Oryctolagus cuniculus: one gene and its partner. The protein of the gene in region 1 purifies or fractionates together with the protein of each later gene. This does not show direct contact. Links are inferred from orthologs where the notes say so. Each region holds a gene or a part of one and is shown on either strand. Other genes may lie near its edges.

The links.
Region 2: the proteins of KPNA6 (region 1) and RNMT purify together in Homo sapiens (co-immunoprecipitation; 3 studies listed by BioGRID and IntAct, counting the BioPlex papers as one, with this or other methods). This does not show direct contact. The link is inferred for Oryctolagus cuniculus from reciprocal best matches to the Homo sapiens genes KPNA6 and RNMT.

Annotation. Positions count from the first base shown.
Region 1 is NC_091438.1:140,306,888-140,311,486, reverse strand, and holds the start of KPNA6 (importin subunit alpha-7), read left to right. Parts: upstream 1-1,513; 5' UTR 1,514-1,528; coding exon 1,529-1,694; intron 1,695-4,599. UniProt on the Homo sapiens protein: Functions in nuclear protein import as an adapter protein for nuclear receptor KPNB1. Binds specifically and directly to substrates containing either a simple or bipartite NLS motif.
Region 2 is NC_091441.1:70,605,407-70,609,217, reverse strand, and holds part of RNMT (mRNA cap guanine-N7 methyltransferase), read right to left. Parts: intron 2,936-3,811; coding exon of another isoform or gene 2,925-2,935; intron 2,546-2,924; coding exon of another isoform or gene 2,424-2,545; exon of another isoform or gene 2,391-2,423; coding exon 2,273-2,390; intron 1-2,272. UniProt on the Homo sapiens protein: Catalytic subunit of the mRNA-capping methyltransferase RNMT:RAMAC complex that methylates the N7 position of the added guanosine to the 5'-cap structure of mRNAs. Binds RNA containing 5'-terminal GpppC.

The DNA of each region.
Region 1 (4,599 bases):
GCTGCAACAGCTAGGACTGGGCCAGGCTGGAGCCAGGAACTTATCTATGTCTCAAGGGAGGCAGGAGCGTAAGTACTTGGGCCATCCTCTTTTGCTTTCTCAGGTACATTAACAGGAAGCTGGATTGAAAGTGGGGCAGTAAGAACCCATATGGGATGCCAGCATTGCAGACAGCAGATTAACCTGCTGTACCACAACACCAGCCCTCCATTTTCTCATTAGTTTTTGGAAGTATACTCATATTTGTGAGCTTGAAGGTGTAATGACATCATTCTTAACCGATACTCACAGTAGCTGGGTTATTTGTGAAATGTTTTTCTGAGAAAATGCATGTTAAAAATCTTAAGAATTGGCCGGCGCCGCGGCTCACTAGGCTAATCCTCCGCCTAGCAGCGCCGGCACACCGGGTTCTAGTCCCGGTCAGGGCGCCGGATTCTGTCCCGGTTGCCCCTCTTCCAGGCCAGCTCTCTGCTGTGGCCAGGGAGTGCAGTGGAGGATGGCCCAAGTCCTTGGGCCCTGCACCCCATGGAAGACCAGGAAAAGCACCTGGCTCCTGGCTCCTGGCTCCTGCCATCGGATCAGCGCGGTGCGCCGGCCGCAGCGTGCTGGCCGCGGCAGCCATTGGAGGGTGAACCAACGGCAAAGGAAGACCTTTCTCTCTGTCTCTCTCTCTCACTGTCCACTCTGCCTGTCAAAAAAAAAAAAAAAAAAAATCTTAAGAATTTCACATTTTTAAGACATACCGGTAATTAAATGGAGCACTATAGCAATTTGGGACTCATGTGTTACCTGTTCTCTGTTTTGTTTTGTTTTGTTTAGTTTGCTAGGGCTACCATAACAAAACACCACAGACTGGGTGCTTTATTTTCTCACAGTTCTGGGGCTGGAAGTCTAAGGTTAAGGTGTCAGCAGGGTTGGTTTCTTCTAAGACCTCTCTCCTTAGCCTCTGGGTAGCTGTCTGCATATTTACTTGGTGTTTTCCTTCATAAAGATAGTAGGTACTGGATTAGCAATGACCTCTGTAACCTTATTTGCCTCTTTAAGGGCTTTAATGAAAAGAATAATTACCTTCTGAGGTACTGGGGGTTAGGGCTTCATCGTATGAATTTAGCAAGACTACAGTAGCTCAGCCATTTCAGGGTCCATACCTATTTTGTCTTCTTGTTGCTACTCCCATGGTTCTAAAAGCTTAGAAAATGCTTGGCAGCATTAGATATGTATTCCATATATTCCCTAGAAATAAGAGGTATAACTTCAGTGACCTTTGATTGAGTTCCTTGACTAAGAAAACCCAAAGCTATCTAAGACAGAAAAGATTTTTGATGTGGATTTTCTAGATCCAACCCCAGCAAGTAAGGGATTGTACCATGGAAAAAGTCCCTGTACTGCTGGATCCATGAAAGATAACCCAGTCTTCTTTTGGTCGATTCCACATGTGCTTTTCTGCAGATGTTCCTTTCACACTCCCTCCCTTGCCTGCTTTTCCAGTGAGGTCATAAGCAAGTATTTGTGATAGTTTCTTGTCACCATGGTGACTAAATCACAGCCTGGTTTTCATTCCAACTTTGCTGTCAACTCTGCTCGAAGGTTGGGAAAGCCTCTGGGAGACTCCAGGTTCAGACTCATGAAAAACCACGTGTCAGGTACCAGGGTAGAGGCGTTCACAATGTTATTCATGAAAAATCATGCGTCAGGTAACAGGGTAGAGGCGTTCACAATGTTATGTTCAGGAATCTGTGCTCCGCCTGTTAGTCTCCAGGCACAAGGATAATCAGGACCTAAAGGATGGTCACTTGAATCCCTTGGCATTTATTTATTTCTTCCTTAAGCTGGGCCTCTTTTTTGAAATGCAGAGAGAGAAGTTCCATCTGCTGGTTCACTCCCCAAATGCCCACAACAGCCAGAGCTGGGCTGGACTGAAGGTCCATATGGGTCTCCCACATAGATAACAGGGAACCAAGCACATAAGCCATTGTCTGTTGCTTCCCAGAATACATTAGCAGGAAGCTGAATCAGAAACAGAGTACCTAGGACATAAACTGGCACTCTGATTTGGAATGTGGGCATTCCAAACAGGAGCTTAATCCACTTATCCCCCCCCCCCTATTTAAACAACAAATCCTCTTGATTTCCTCAGAGATGGATTCAGCCTGTTCTCTTTAACTTCAAGTTTTACTTTTCTTTCAACCTGATGCCCTTGTAGACTACTTTTCCTCCTTCACTCCTTCACTATGTGCTTTCTTGATCCATTTCCATTCCCAAAGTCAACGCCTGCTTGAAGAACCAGGCCAAATGTTATCTTTCAGAGATTACTTTTTTTTTTTTTTTTTTTTTTTTTGACAGAGTGGACAGTGACAGAGAAAGACAGAGAGAAAGGTCTTCCTTTGCCGTTGGTTCACCCTCCAATGGCCGCCGCGGCCGGCGCGCTGTGGCCGGCGCACCGCGCTGATCCGATGGCAGGAGCCAGGAGCCAGGTGCTTCTCCTGGTCTCCCATGGGGTGCAGGGCCCAAGCACTTGGGCCATCCTCCATTGCACTCCCTGGCCACAGCAGAGAGCTGGCCTGGAAGAGGGGCAACCGGGACAGAATCCGGCGCCCCAACTGAGACTAGAACCTGGTGTGCCGGCGCCGCAAGGTGGAGGATTAGCCTAGTGAGCCGTGGCACCAGCCAGAGATTACTTTTCAAACTCTGTTGTCACAGTCACCCTTACACCTCCAGAAAAAGGCAGTATTAGTTTTCCCTTTCAGTGTATCTAAAAAACTTACTTTTCATCCGTTTTGCAATACTTTTATTCACTGTTTCAGATTACAGGTTGAGAGGACTGGAAATACTGATCAAGGGAGAACCAAGTTGGTGAGGCTTCAGGCCCTTCTCCCCATGCTTCAACACTGTCAGCATCACTTTTATCTGGTTTTACACATTGAGATTCTTTCGTTTTATAATTTGTAAATGTCTCTGTTTTTATTTATTTGAAAGACAGTGGAGACAGAGATCTTCCATCTAGTGGTTCACTCCCCAAATTCGCACAATAGCCAGGGCTGGGCCAGGCTAAATCCAGAAGCCAGGTGTCGCATCTGGTCTCCTTCATGGGTGGCAGGGACCCAACAACTTGAGCCATCATCTGCTCCTGCCTCCCATTATGCACATGAGCAGGAAGCTGGATCAGAAGCAGAGGTAGTACTGATCCCATGCCCTCTGATATGGGGTGAGAGTGTCCCAAAGTAGTGGCTTAAACCACTGCATCATAGTGCCCACCCCCACATTGGGATTCTATGACAAATTTTTTTTAATTTAAAAAATATATTTTTATTTATCTGAAAGGCAGAGAGACAAATCTCCAGTCTGCTGGTTCACACCCCAAATAACCACAACAACCAGGGCTGGGCAAGGCCACGGCTGGGAATTCACTGTTAGTGTCACATGTGAATGGCAGGGACCCAAATACTTGACCATTGCCTACTGCTTCCCAGGGTGCACATTATTAAGGAAAGATGGATCAGAGGTAGTACCTGGATTTGAACCTAGGCATCCCATCTGGCATCTTCACAAGTGACAAAGGCCCACTCTGAATCAGATTTAATTGAAAGAGGTGCACTGCAGTTAAAATTTTTTTTAAGGGCCGGCGCTGTGGCACAGCAGGTTAACACCCTGGCCTAAAGTGCCGGCATCCCATATGGCGCCAGTTTGAGACCCGGCTGCTCCACTTCCAATCCAGCTCTCTGCTGTGGCCTGGGAAAGCAGTGGAAGATGGCCCAAGTCGTTGGGCCCATGCACCTGCATGGGAGACCCGAAAGAAGTTCCTGGCTTCTGGCTTTGGATCGGCACAGCTCCAGCCGTTGCAGCCAACCATTGGATAGAAGTGAACCATTGGATAGAAGACTTCTCTCTCTGCTTCTCCTCTCTCTTTGTAATTCTGACTTTCAAATAAATAAATAAATCTTTAAAAAAATTTTTTTGGCCAGTGCCACGGCTCAATAGGCTAATCCTCCACCTGCGGTGCCAGCACACCGGGTTCTAGTCCCGGTTGGGGCACCGGATTCTGTCCTGGTTACTCCTCTTCCAGGCCAGCTCTCTGCTGTGGCCCGGGAGTGCAGTGGAGGATGGCCCAGGTCCTTGGGCCCTGCACCCGCATGGGAGACCAGGAGAAGCACCTGGCTCCTGGCTTCGGATCAGCACGGTGCACCAGCTGCAGCGCACCAGCCGCAGCAGCCATTGTGGGGTGAACCAATGGAAAAGGAAGACCTTTCTCTGTCCCTTACTGTCCACTCTGCCTGTCAAAAAAAATTTTTTTTGTTGTAGTGAAATTGACTACTTCAACCATTTTTAAAAATGTTTATTTTCATCTACTTGAGAGGTAGAGAGAGAGAAGTATCTTCTACCCAATGGTTCATTCCCTAAATGGCTACAACAGCTGGGACTGGGCTAGGAACTCAGAACTACATCTGGCTCTTCCATGTGAGTGGCAGAGACCAAAGCATTTGAGCCATCATCTATTGCCTCTTAGGATACATTAGCATGAAGCTGAATCAGAAGTGCAGAAGAGGCAGCTGGAATTAAAACTAGCACTCCAGTATGGACTGTGGGTGTCCCAAGCAGTGG
Region 2 (3,811 bases), on another chromosome or scaffold:
CCAGGCCAGCTCTCTGCTATGGCCAGGGAGTGCAGTGGAGGATGGCCCAGGTGCTTGGGCCCTGCACCCCATGGGAGACCAGGAAAAGCACCAGGATCCTGGCTCCTGCCATCAGATCAGCGCGGTGCGCCGGCTGCCGTGGCGGCCATTGGAGGGTGAACCAATGGCAAAGGAAGACCTTTCTCTCTGTCTCTCTCTCTCTCACTGTCCACTCTGCCTGTCAAAAATAAAAAAATAAAAAAATAAAAAAAATTAAAAAAAAGTTTGTGAAAAATAGAATTAAAAGACAAATAATAAAGATTTAAAATAAGTTTTATTTTTTAATACAAGCTTCACCAAGTTCACGACAGTTTTGTTAAATAATGTTATATGTCATTTAGACCATCCCTAAAGAACTAAAAGGTCTGGGAACTTAACTATGTCAATGCTGTGTTTTACAATTTTAACTAAAGAAAAATGGGACCTTTAGAGGTCCCTTAAGAGCAGGAAATAGGATGGCATTGTAGCACAGCAGATTAAGCCACTGCCTGCGACACCAGTATCCCATATGGGCATTGGTTCAAGTCCTAACTGCTCCTTTTCCAAACCAGTTCCCTCCTTATGTGACTGGGAAAGCAGAAAATGGCCTAACACTTGGGCCCCTGTACCCATGTGGGAGACTTAGATGAAGCTCCAGGCTCCTGGCATCAGCCTGGTCCAGCCCTTGCTATTGCAGTCATGTGGAGAGTAAACCAACAGATGGAAGATCTCTTTCTGTCTGTCTCCCCTTCTCTTTCTGTAAATCTACCTGCAAATAAATCTTAAAAAAAAAAAAAAAAAAAAAAAAAAAGAAGAGAAGTTTGAAGGAGCCAAATCAGGACTTTGAGGTGGATGCCTAAGATTTCCCAGCAAAATTCTTGCAAAAGTGCTCTTATTTTAAGAGGAATGAGCAGAAGCATTGCAGTGGTTGAGAAGGATCCTGGTAGAGCTTTCCCAGGTTATTTTTGCTAATGTTTTAGGTAAATTTCTCAAAAATTCTCCCTAATGAGCAAATGTTAACTGGTCTTTGGCCCTCCAAAAAGTCAACAAGCAAAATGTCTTGAGCATTTCCCAGAATTTCTACCATGACCTTTGCTCCAATTGGTCCATGTTTCTCTTCACTGAATTTCTTCTACCTCTTGGTATCTACTGCTTTGATTGGGCTTTGTCTTCAAGACAAAAATCATATTGTTAAAATTATGTTTCATCTCCATTGCAGTTCTTCATAGAAATCCTTCAGGATCGTCATCCTATTTGTTTAAAGTTCCTTTAAAAGTTTTTTCTTGTCTGTAGCTGATCTCTGTATCCCAACAGTTTTGTATTCAGGGAACAGTGTCTGCTCTACTTTCTCAGTCACAATTGTGTAAGCTGAAGCAACTAAGGTATCTATAGTGTTGGCTACTGTTTCTGCTGTTACTGATCACTGGTCCTCTTTAATTATGGCATAAACAAGATTAAGTTTTTCCTCACAAATTGATATGGGTGGTCAGCAGCTGCAGGCTTCACCTTCAAAAGTCTCAGTCCTCCTTTTTCTTAAAAAAAAAAAAAAAATGGATTTCATTTATTTGCAAGGCAGAGTTGGACGGAGAAAAATCTTCTATCTACTGGTTCACTCCCCAAATGGCCACAATGGCCAAGCCAAAGCCAGGAACCAGCAACTCCATCCATGTGGGTGGCAGGGGCCCAAGTACTTGGGCCATCTTCCGCTGCTTTCCCAGATGCATTAGCAAGGAGCTGGATCAAAAGTGGGGCAGCTGGGTCTCAAATCAGTGCCCATATGAGATGCCAGCATTGTAGAAAGTGCCTCAATCAGCAGTGCCACATGCTGGCCCCTCAGTCTTCCTTAAAATGCATTATCCATTAATAAATTACTGATTTCTTTGAGGCACTGTCCCCATAAGCCTTTTGTAAAGCATCAACTATTTCATTATTCTTTCACCTAAGTTCTACAATAACTTGATGCTTGTTCTTGCTTCAATTGTAGAACTCGTTTTGCCCTGATAGGGGCTCTTTCCAAACTCATGCCTTATCCTTCTCAAACCAGATCCTGTTCAGACTTGTTATAGCAAGTTAGTACAAGTTTATTTTGGTACAAAAAATTATTTGAAAACCATGCACATTTTTCCATAACACACATTTTTCACAAACATTCCGAAGATGCCTCACACACTATGGTGTCTATATGGCTCTGAAAAGATCTCAAAAACAGCCAAACAAGTTCTTGGGATTTTTTTATAACTTTTCAAGGACTTACCTCTAGAGCCTGCATTCGTTTCAACAGCATTTTATTTTCATTGTTCTTAATCTTTTCTTCATAAAATTCCAGAAATGTTTTTTTGTAGACTAGCTTCATATTATACTTCTTCACCATTCTGTCCAGAAAAGATTACTTAATGAAAAGGATTCTAAAATGTTTGTAATTCTTCATTTTTGTACAACAGTGACATCTTCTGGGCTGAAACTAAAAAGCTATCATTTCCTCCATGAATTCCGAGAGTAATGCAAAACAAATTAAGAGTAACATAGCGGCCGGCGCCGTGGCTCAATAGGCTAATCCTCCACCTTGCGGCGCCGGCACACCGGGTTCTAGTCCCGGTTGGGGCGCCGGATTCTGTCCCGGTTGCCCCTCTTCCAGGCCAGCTCTCTGCTATGGCCAGGGAGTGCAGTGGAGGATGGCCCAGGTGCTTGGGCCCTGCACCCCATGGGAGACCAGGAAAAGCACCTGGCTCCTGGCTCCTGCCAGGATCAGCGCGGTGCGCCGGCTGCAGCGGCGGCCATTGGAGGGTGAACCAACGGCAAAGGAAGACCTTTCTCTCTCTGTCTCTCTCTCTCACTGTCCACTCTGCCTGTCAAAAAAAAAAAAAAAAAAAAAAAAAAAAAAAAAAAAAAAAAAAGAGTAACATAGCAACAACCACGCCTGTAAAGAAATATACATTCTAAATTACAGACAGCTCTATTAGCTACCAAATAGGTCATGAGTAAAAAAGTATTTCAAGGGCTGTGAGATGGGGAAAAAGAGCTAAAGAGAACAGTTTTGTACTGATTCCATTTTATTTTATTTGATCCTTCATAGCAGCATTAAAAAGGGCCGCCAACCTCATTCTTAAAAGATTCACTTTAATCTCCTGGATTTTTTGTCAATTATTTTTCAAATTTATTCATTTGAAAGCAGAGAGAGACTGATCAAGCTAGCTCCCATCCCTTGTTCACTTTTCAAATGCCTACAAAAGTCAGAGACTGGCCAGGCCTAAACCAGAAGCTGGGAATTCAGTTCAGGTCTCCCAGATGGATGGCAGGGATACAAGTACTTCAGCCATCACCTGCTGCCTTGCAGGGTGCACATGAGAAGGAAGCTGGAATGAGAAGTGGAGCTGGGCCTCGAACTCAAGCACTCCAAAGTGGGGTGTGTTATCCCAACTGCTGTGCCAAAACCTGCCTCAAAACTCGTCTCATTTTTACCATACACCTTAGGCTGCTTCTTTGTTTTGCCAGTTTCTTTATTAACAAACTTCTAAATTTTAGAGTATTAATACTGATGGGATAGGGAAAGAGAAACACCAGTGGCCACTGGGACTTAGAGGCATATATAAAAACAGGATTCTCAGTTGCTCGAATCAGATCTCCCTAAATGAGCAAAGATAAATCTTTTTTACTGCAGGTAATTCATTTTCTATCATGAATCTTCAAAATATGTCTTTGGAAATAAATCCAGATTTTACACCTAAAAAACTATAATTACAAACGACTAAACCCAATTTGGCCACTTTGAATAGGGTTCTACCATATAAAAGCT